Linked DNA regions of Saccharomyces cerevisiae S288C. The protein of the gene in region 1 binds, or shares a complex with, the protein of each later gene. Each region holds a gene or a part of one and is shown in the gene's direction. Other genes may lie near its edges.

Region 1 (4,932 bases):
TCTAGTAAACTTGACGATGCTGCTCGCGCTAAGTTTGAGAACGAACTGGATTCGTTTTTCACGCTTTTCAGGAGATATTTGGTAGAGAAGTCTTCTAGAACCACCTTGGAATGGGACAAGATCAAGTCTCCCAACCCGGATGAAGTGGTTAAGTATGAAATTATTTCTCAGCAGCCCGAGAATGTCTCAAACCTTTCCAAATTGGCTGTTTTGAAGTTGAACGGTGGGCTGGGTACCTCCATGGGCTGCGTTGGCCCTAAATCTGTTATTGAAGTGAGAGAGGGAAACACCTTTTTGGATTTGTCTGTTCGTCAAATTGAATACTTGAACAGACAGTACGATAGCGACGTGCCATTGTTATTGATGAATTCTTTCAACACTGACAAGGATACGGAACACTTGATTAAGAAGTATTCCGCTAACAGAATCAGAATCAGATCTTTCAATCAATCCAGGTTCCCAAGAGTCTACAAGGATTCTTTATTGCCTGTCCCCACCGAATACGATTCTCCACTGGATGCTTGGTATCCACCAGGTCACGGTGATTTGTTTGAATCTTTACACGTATCTGGTGAACTGGATGCCTTAATTGCCCAAGGAAGAGAAATATTATTTGTTTCTAACGGTGACAACTTGGGTGCTACCGTCGACTTAAAAATTTTAAACCACATGATCGAGACTGGTGCCGAATATATAATGGAATTGACTGATAAGACCAGAGCCGATGTTAAAGGTGGTACTTTGATTTCTTACGATGGTCAAGTCCGTTTATTGGAAGTCGCCCAAGTTCCAAAAGAACACATTGACGAATTCAAAAATATCAGAAAGTTTACCAACTTCAACACGAATAACTTATGGATCAATCTGAAAGCAGTAAAGAGGTTGATCGAATCGAGCAATTTGGAGATGGAAATCATTCCAAACCAAAAAACTATAACAAGAGACGGTCATGAAATTAATGTCTTACAATTAGAAACCGCTTGTGGTGCTGCTATCAGGCATTTTGATGGTGCTCACGGTGTTGTCGTTCCAAGATCAAGATTCTTGCCTGTCAAGACCTGTTCCGATTTGTTGCTGGTTAAATCAGATCTATTCCGTCTGGAACACGGTTCTTTGAAGTTAGACCCATCCCGTTTTGGTCCAAACCCATTAATCAAGTTGGGCTCGCATTTCAAAAAGGTTTCTGGTTTTAACGCAAGAATCCCTCACATCCCAAAAATCGTCGAGCTAGATCATTTGACCATCACTGGTAACGTCTTTTTAGGTAAAGATGTCACTTTGAGGGGTACTGTCATCATCGTTTGCTCCGACGGTCATAAAATCGATATTCCAAACGGCTCCATATTGGAAAATGTTGTCGTTACTGGTAATTTGCAAATCTTGGAACATTGAAGGTGCGGCTTGCAATCCCTTTTTTACTTTCAATTCTCCGTTAGGTTATTTATTCTACTACACGCAGTTTTTTTTTTTCAATGGGTTATATATCTCTAATATATACACATTTATATGTTTAGACTTATACAGAAGCAAAAAAAAATGCAAAAGAAGCTTAGTGTTCATAATTCTTCACTCACGTCATGTTATATATTTGTTAAGCGTAGCTTCAGTATATATAGAGATTTTCCTTTGGCGGGGTAAGGGTCTGTGAACTTTAGGGAAATAGAATAAACGTAAGTTAAAGGTGACAAGCTCGGATCGTCATCTTTCAATTATCACCCCAAAAGATATTGTAAAAAAGCAAGTTCAATCTCGTTTGTTACATTTGTCCCGTATTTCTACTAATTCAGGCAAAAAAGGAAAGTCCTACAGCAAAAGAGGCAAAAGTACAGTATGGAAATCGATGGCAACACTCTGGTGTTCATAATAGTGATCCTTTTCCTATTTTTCTCCTCACCGGGTGGTGATGGTGTGTCTTCTCAATATGAGTTCAATCAACTCCAGAGACTCAAGCAGCAGTTCCGAACAGAGCACAATACGTTCGTCAATATGACATATACAGATAGTTTTCGAAATATTACCGGGCTTAAACTCAGCTACCAAGACATGCTGAATAATCCTCTCCAAAATGCCACTTACCCACTACCAGGAAAAGATTATGATCGATGGTTTCCCAATCAAAACTACATGGTTTTGCCCAACGATGTCATAGAGGCCATAAATACTGAAGTCTGGAATACTTCGAATGATGACGCTTCCAACCTTTTCCCTCCCAATATTACAAGCACCCTGTTAGGTAAAATCGACCTTGTATCAAATAACAAGTACGAAAAGATAAGGATGCCTGTACCCAGATTCTATGAGCCGGCAACTGATTTTTCAGAGGATATTCCTCCTGAAGGTGAGACGTACTGGTCTGAGTGGCCTTCGTATGGCGAACTTCATAATGTGAGTTTTCAGCATGGCGAAATAGCTATTCAAATTTCTCATATGAGCAATCTTCAGGACAATAATAATTACTTAAGGAGAAATTTCATAAATAAGAAAAATGACCGTTGGAAGTTGTTAAATCTTCAGATTGATTTCTCAGATAAGGCTGAAAAGGAAAAGCATTCCATATACTCGAAGGCTGTATATGACATTCAACGTGGTAGAATTCTTTCTATTTCTCAGAGTTCTAAATTTCATTCATTGTTCGCCCTTCCTCATTACATGTCCTTCCAGAATGATTATAATGAGAAAATATTTAATGATGTCAAGGAACTCGTTGATGAATTTTGGAATTTCACGGATTACACAGATGTCATGACCATGAAAGACGTACAGGATGCTTATAATAATGCCAACTTTAAATGTGAGTATTTGATTTTTCTTCAGTTGGAACCATGGAATCAGTACACAAGAGATCAGATCAAGTTAATAGATGATGAATTGAATTGGCCCCTGGGGCGTCCGGCAAATCTGTCTAGTTTACCGCCCATAAATGTTGTCTCTGGATTACTGTATTCTCCAGACTGTGGCGTACGATTAGGGCTTCATAACGTAAAGGGTACACGGTACGAATTAAAAATAATGTCGATCAGAAAACATCTATTGTTCGGTATTGCATTATTTGCAGCCCAGATATACTTATTGCTTACTCAGATGCATCATACAAATACCCCCTCCATGGTCAACAAAATCTCATTCTATTGTTTCTCAATGATAAACTTAGTCGATGGTTCCTTGGCCACTTTGTACTTTGTCGCAGCTAGTGTCGTTCCCGAATTGTACTTACCCCTAGTTATAAGTGCTTTTTCGTGCTTTATCTTGGCATCTATTTTTGAAATACGCTACTTAATTTCAATTTACGCTTCACAGGTTAACGAACAGAATGTTGGGATTATCAACCTCCTGCGTGGTAACACTGGCACATATGATGAGAATAGGCCAAGACCCGCATTCATTCCCGATGAAGGGTCTATCGGTGGCTCGTTATATGGTAGGTTTTTCTTTATGCTAATCATTTTCACGTTTTTAATATTGAGTTCAACTTCATGGCCCCGTCAGCTAAGGATGGTATTTGAGTATATCCTAATCTTCATATTAAACTCATATTGGATCCCTCAAATTTTCCGTAACGCCGTTAAAGGTATTCCTTCAAGAAGAGAAAGAGCAAGATCTAGCATTGGAGGAAATAGAAGTCAAAACAAAATGCCATTATTGTGGAGTTTTGTAATTGGTACAACAATAATTAGAAGCTTGCCCGTTGTGTATGTTTTCACTTACTCCTCTAATGTGTTCAGGCACCATAAAGATGTTCATTTCGTCGTATTTTTATCATTGTGGCTACTGTTTCAAATTAGTATACTGTATTCTCAAGATGTATTGGGATCGCGCTGGTTCTTGCCTAAGCACACAATACCTGATGGATATTCGTATTTCAAGCCCCTTTCAAACGAGTATATATCGGAGCATGGTGGTGGAACTGCTGAACATACCGTTGATTGCGCGATATGTATGTCTGATGTTCCAATTTACATAGAGGAAATTCCAGAAACTCATAAGGTGGATCAGCACTCTTACATGGTAACGCCTTGTAATCACGTATTTCATACTTCGTGTCTAGAAAACTGGATGAATTATAAGTTACAATGTCCTGTGTGTAGGTCACCATTACCTCCGTTGTAGATAGCATCTCTTGATCCTAAGAACTATATACTGTATTTGTATTCAAGATCCAAGATACCGTGACATTTCCTATTTGTCAACCATTGCAATAAGAAATTTTACATGAATAGTGCATTAACTTTTTATTACCACTAAAGTAGTTTTGCTTAAATATACAATAGGCAAACTAGACTTAGGATAATTCACAAGGGTTTTTAGTGTTACCCTTTTTCCGTATGACACATTTTTCGAGGAATTAATTATTGGGAAAATATTGCCGATCAAGATCCATTGAGGTGAATCTAAATCGCTCCAACTCCAAGTTGGGGAATCTTAAGACCGTCACTGCCTTCCAATTACACTGCTTTTGTTTCTTTGACAATAAGAACGCAAAAGTAAATTTCTTTTTTTTAACAAATTATGACACATCCTGTAGCAGTGAAGGCATGTCTATTTGACATGGATGGTCTTCTCATCAACACAGAGGATATTTATACTGAAACTTTAAATGAAACTCTCGCAGAATTTGGTAAGGGACCTTTAACTTGGGATGTGAAGATTAAATTGCAAGGGCTTCCGGGACCGGAAGCAGGAAAAAGGGTGATCGAACACTACAAATTACCAATAACTTTAGATGAGTACGACGAAAGAAATGTTGCATTGCAATCTCTTAAATGGGGTACTTGCGAATTTCTTCCCGGTGCATTGAATTTGTTGAAATACTTAAAGTTAAAGAACATTCCTATTGCATTATGTACGTCTTCGAACAAGACTAAATTTCGCGGCAAAACAAGTCATTTAGAGGAAGGTTTTGATCTTTTCGATACCATTGTCACTGGTGATGAT
Region 2 (3,643 bases), on another chromosome or scaffold:
GAGATGGAGGTCCCTTGACCTGGGAAGGTTAGTAGCTTCATACAAACGCTTATATATGTGTACCACGATCAGAAAAGTGCAAAACGCTTTGTTACTACCCTCAGTGTACGTTATTGAATAGTTCTAATATGCAGCAAGTTACTGGTAAGCTTTGTTTTACCCTTGAGTTCGATACTCAGTTTACTTCCTCCATCGGAGGTTGAAATGCGCCTTGTCATACGGCCAAAAAATGCCATGTAAGAAGATGACACTTTCTGCATTTTGAGTATATTTAAGGGCCTATAATTTTCTTCCAACTTTCTCAAGACAAGCATATTGTGTACTTTCGGTTTAGCAAGCCTTTTTACTTCGTTAACACAAGGCGATGCTAACGTGTGTTTACTGTTTTAGAAGATCGGCATTTATCAAATGTAAGGACAATGAGACATGGTTGACCAATTAGTTCTTCTCAGATAGGAGTTCTAGTTCTTCTGCATACTACTTAGTCCTCTTCTGTCGTTGACATTCAATTGCTTGTGCATTTCTAACATGAAATAGTGGTACTACGAATGCTATTATTCTATGCCAGGCAAATTCCTCTGGAACTTTTTTTTTTTCAGTTTTTTCGTGGTGAGCTTTTTTTGCCTGTCTATCTCGAAAGATCTTGTTGTTGATGACTCAGTGCAGTCGCGATCACTTTCGACTCGACATGCATTTGCAAGTAATTCTGTTATAAAACGTTCTCTTCGTTTTTTCAGTCTGAAGCTCTTCTGCACTTTTTTACTGGGTTAGATTCTATATAGTCAAGTAATTCGAGGTAGCATCAAAGTAATATGTCATCAGACTCAAACGCAAAGCCATTGCCTTTTATATATCAGTTCATATCAGGTGCCGTCGCCGGTATTTCTGAGTTAACTGTTATGTATCCGCTTGATGTTGTTAAGACAAGATTTCAACTGGAGGTGACGACGCCTACTGCCGCTGCAGTAGGAAAGCAAGTAGAGAGATATAATGGTGTCATCGATTGTTTGAAAAAAATTGTAAAGAAGGAAGGGTTTAGCAGACTTTACAGAGGTATTAGTTCACCAATGTTGATGGAAGCACCAAAGAGAGCCACCAAATTTGCATGTAACGATCAATATCAAAAAATCTTCAAAAACCTATTCAACACGAATGAAACTACGCAGAAGATCTCCATTGCGGCTGGTGCATCTGCTGGTATGACAGAAGCTGCAGTTATTGTTCCATTTGAATTGATCAAAATCAGGATGCAAGACGTCAAGTCCAGCTATCTTGGACCAATGGACTGTTTGAAAAAAACAATCAAAAACGAAGGTATTATGGGGCTATACAAGGGTATCGAATCTACCATGTGGAGAAACGCTCTTTGGAATGGTGGCTACTTCGGTGTTATCTACCAAGTGAGAAATTCCATGCCCGTAGCAAAGACAAAGGGACAAAAGACCAGAAATGACCTTATTGCAGGTGCGATCGGTGGTACGGTCGGGACCATGCTTAACACTCCCTTTGACGTGGTGAAATCCAGAATCCAAAGTGTGGACGCGGTCAGCAGTGCTGTTAAAAAATACAACTGGTGCCTACCTTCGCTATTGGTCATATACCGTGAAGAAGGCTTCAGAGCATTGTACAAAGGTTTCGTCCCCAAAGTATGTAGACTAGCACCCGGTGGTTCATTAATGTTGGTGGTTTTTACCGGTATGATGAACTTTTTCAGGGATCTGAAGTACGGACACTGATATTTATTGTATATAGAATACCTCTTTCCTCTTCAATCTTAACTACGTTATTTCTACGTCAAAATAAGAATAGCATGTCTGTCCTACCAGCCCTTGCATAGGCGTCTTAAAATGTTGAGAAGCCTAAACTTCCCTCAATTTCCTACACAAAAGGGCATTAAGATGAACAAAATGATGATCTCTCCGATGGACTTGACGCTTATACCAAAAGAGACTCGATATAAACAACACGGTTTTATAGTCCTGGATTATTAATCCGCACGATTAATTTTGTATGGTTTTTTTTTAAAATTTGAAATAAAAAGAGTAAATATACAAGAAGTAAAACCGAGGTAGTACTCTTTAGAAATTCTTCATCTCTTTTTATAGTTGCACTGGGAGGAAAAAAAAATATATATATACTATCTCCATTACCCGGAGTTGAATATAAAGAACGGCGTATTAGGGTCCCTTGAGTTATTAAAGAAGACGCTTGTGATATAAACCAAGCAAAGAGAGAGGTGAAAGGCAGCATACATTGATAAAATTATGTCCGCAGAACCATTATTACCCACACATAACGGATCGCAGGGAGGGGAAGTGAGGTCCCCAGATCAGAAGTTCATTGTGATACGGTTTTCCGACGTATCAGTAAGGGATCTGCAGTTGAACATATCAAATGTACCATTTTCGAATATAAATACCCACTGGCTACGTCGGATGTGTAGAGAATTGAGGCCCCAACAAACACAAAAAAGAAGACTGAAGTTTATAAGGAACGGGAGTATTCTGAATACGCATTCCAAGATTGCTGAGGAACTGACGCATTACTTCGATACTGCTAATAACTCTAACGTCGCAACAGGCACCAGCGTGGCACCAGAGCAGAACAACTACTATATTCATTGTATAATTGGTACAGAGGAGCTGACACAAGCAGAGTTAGCCAACGAAGATCTAAAGGACGATGCAACTCCGTCCAATGACTCCATGACCACGCAGGCCATCGGGTTTGATAGGCTACGATCCGTGGGATTTACTGAGCAAGAAATCGAACTGCTGAGGCAACAGTTTCGGGCCACGTATGGAGATTTGGAGGAGGAGGAGGAGAGACTTGCTCAAAATGGCAACAGAGATGATGAGGGCCATGACATTAGACAGTTGGAGGAACAGTGGATGGAAAGCGGGAGTGGGACCGCTCAGGGGAATGGGGCCGGAGGCGGCAATGAAGACAGGTTTAACTCTGTGCCGATCGCTAACATAAAGCACAACAAAGACTTGCTTTTAGGTATATGTGTCGGATTCTTCTTCGGCGTCTTTGGTATACTATTAATGAAGTTTGATGGATTGTTCAACAGACGGCAAAAAATGGCGATTTTTGCCGGTGTGATTGTTAATGTTATGTTTTGTCTTGTGAGAGGTTTTTAGTAGTGAGGCGATTAGATGTCGTTTTCATGTACAATAATGATATTATTTTTTTTTTTTCAATTTTTAGTATTTTACATGGCATTCTTACACTTTTATAAAGTATTATTTATATTACTAGTAGCAGTAAGTGATCGCCCTTTTTTTTAGCACTCGGTCCAATGCTGCTAACGACGAATCAAAAGATAAGCGTTCTCTTGCTTCAAGTTATTCAAATTTCTATAGTTACCTTCTAATCTCATTAAGAGGCCACCGAATGAGTAGTAAACGGCAATTAGATCCTTGCTTACTTCCTCAAACTTGTAAGCGGTACCATACATGACGTAATCATAATCATCTGCAAGGGATCTGTCACCAGCCTGTGGAGGTCTCCAGCTTCTTGTCGCAGAAGAGTCGTTAGCTGGGGTGTCTTCGAGGTTTAAAGAGGATGCAATAGTCACTGTCAAAGAATCTTGTGCGGCGACGGGAAACAATTCAACATTTATATCCAAGGTTAGTTTGCA

What was found.
Region 2: TUL1 (region 1) and DSC3 share a complex: the UniProt entries of both Saccharomyces cerevisiae proteins name them as parts of the DSC E3 ligase complex.

What each region holds. Positions count from the first base shown.
Region 1 is NC_001143.9:369,999-374,930, forward strand, and holds TUL1 (ubiquitin-protein ligase TUL1), read left to right. Parts: upstream 1-1,830; coding exon 1,831-4,107; downstream 4,108-4,932. Other genes in the region: UGP1 (UTP glucose-1-phosphate uridylyltransferase), read left to right, coding at 1-1,392; YKL033W-A (haloacid dehalogenase superfamily protein), read left to right, coding at 4,507-4,932. UniProt on the Saccharomyces cerevisiae protein: Catalytic component of the DSC E3 ubiquitin ligase complexes that tag proteins present in Golgi, endosome and vacuole membranes and function in protein homeostasis under non-stress conditions and support a role in protein quality control.
Region 2 is NC_001147.6:757,518-761,160, forward strand, and holds DSC3 (Dsc3p), read left to right. Parts: upstream 1-2,264; coding exon 2,265-3,143; downstream 3,144-3,643. Other genes in the region: MCT1 ([acyl-carrier-protein] S-malonyltransferase), read right to left, coding at 1-41; ODC2 (mitochondrial 2-oxodicarboxylate carrier), read left to right, coding at 813-1,736; DNA-directed RNA polymerase core subunit RPB8, read right to left, coding at 3,308-3,643. UniProt on the Saccharomyces cerevisiae protein: Component of the DSC E3 ubiquitin ligase complexes that tag proteins present in Golgi, endosome and vacuole membranes and function in protein homeostasis under non-stress conditions and support a role in protein quality control.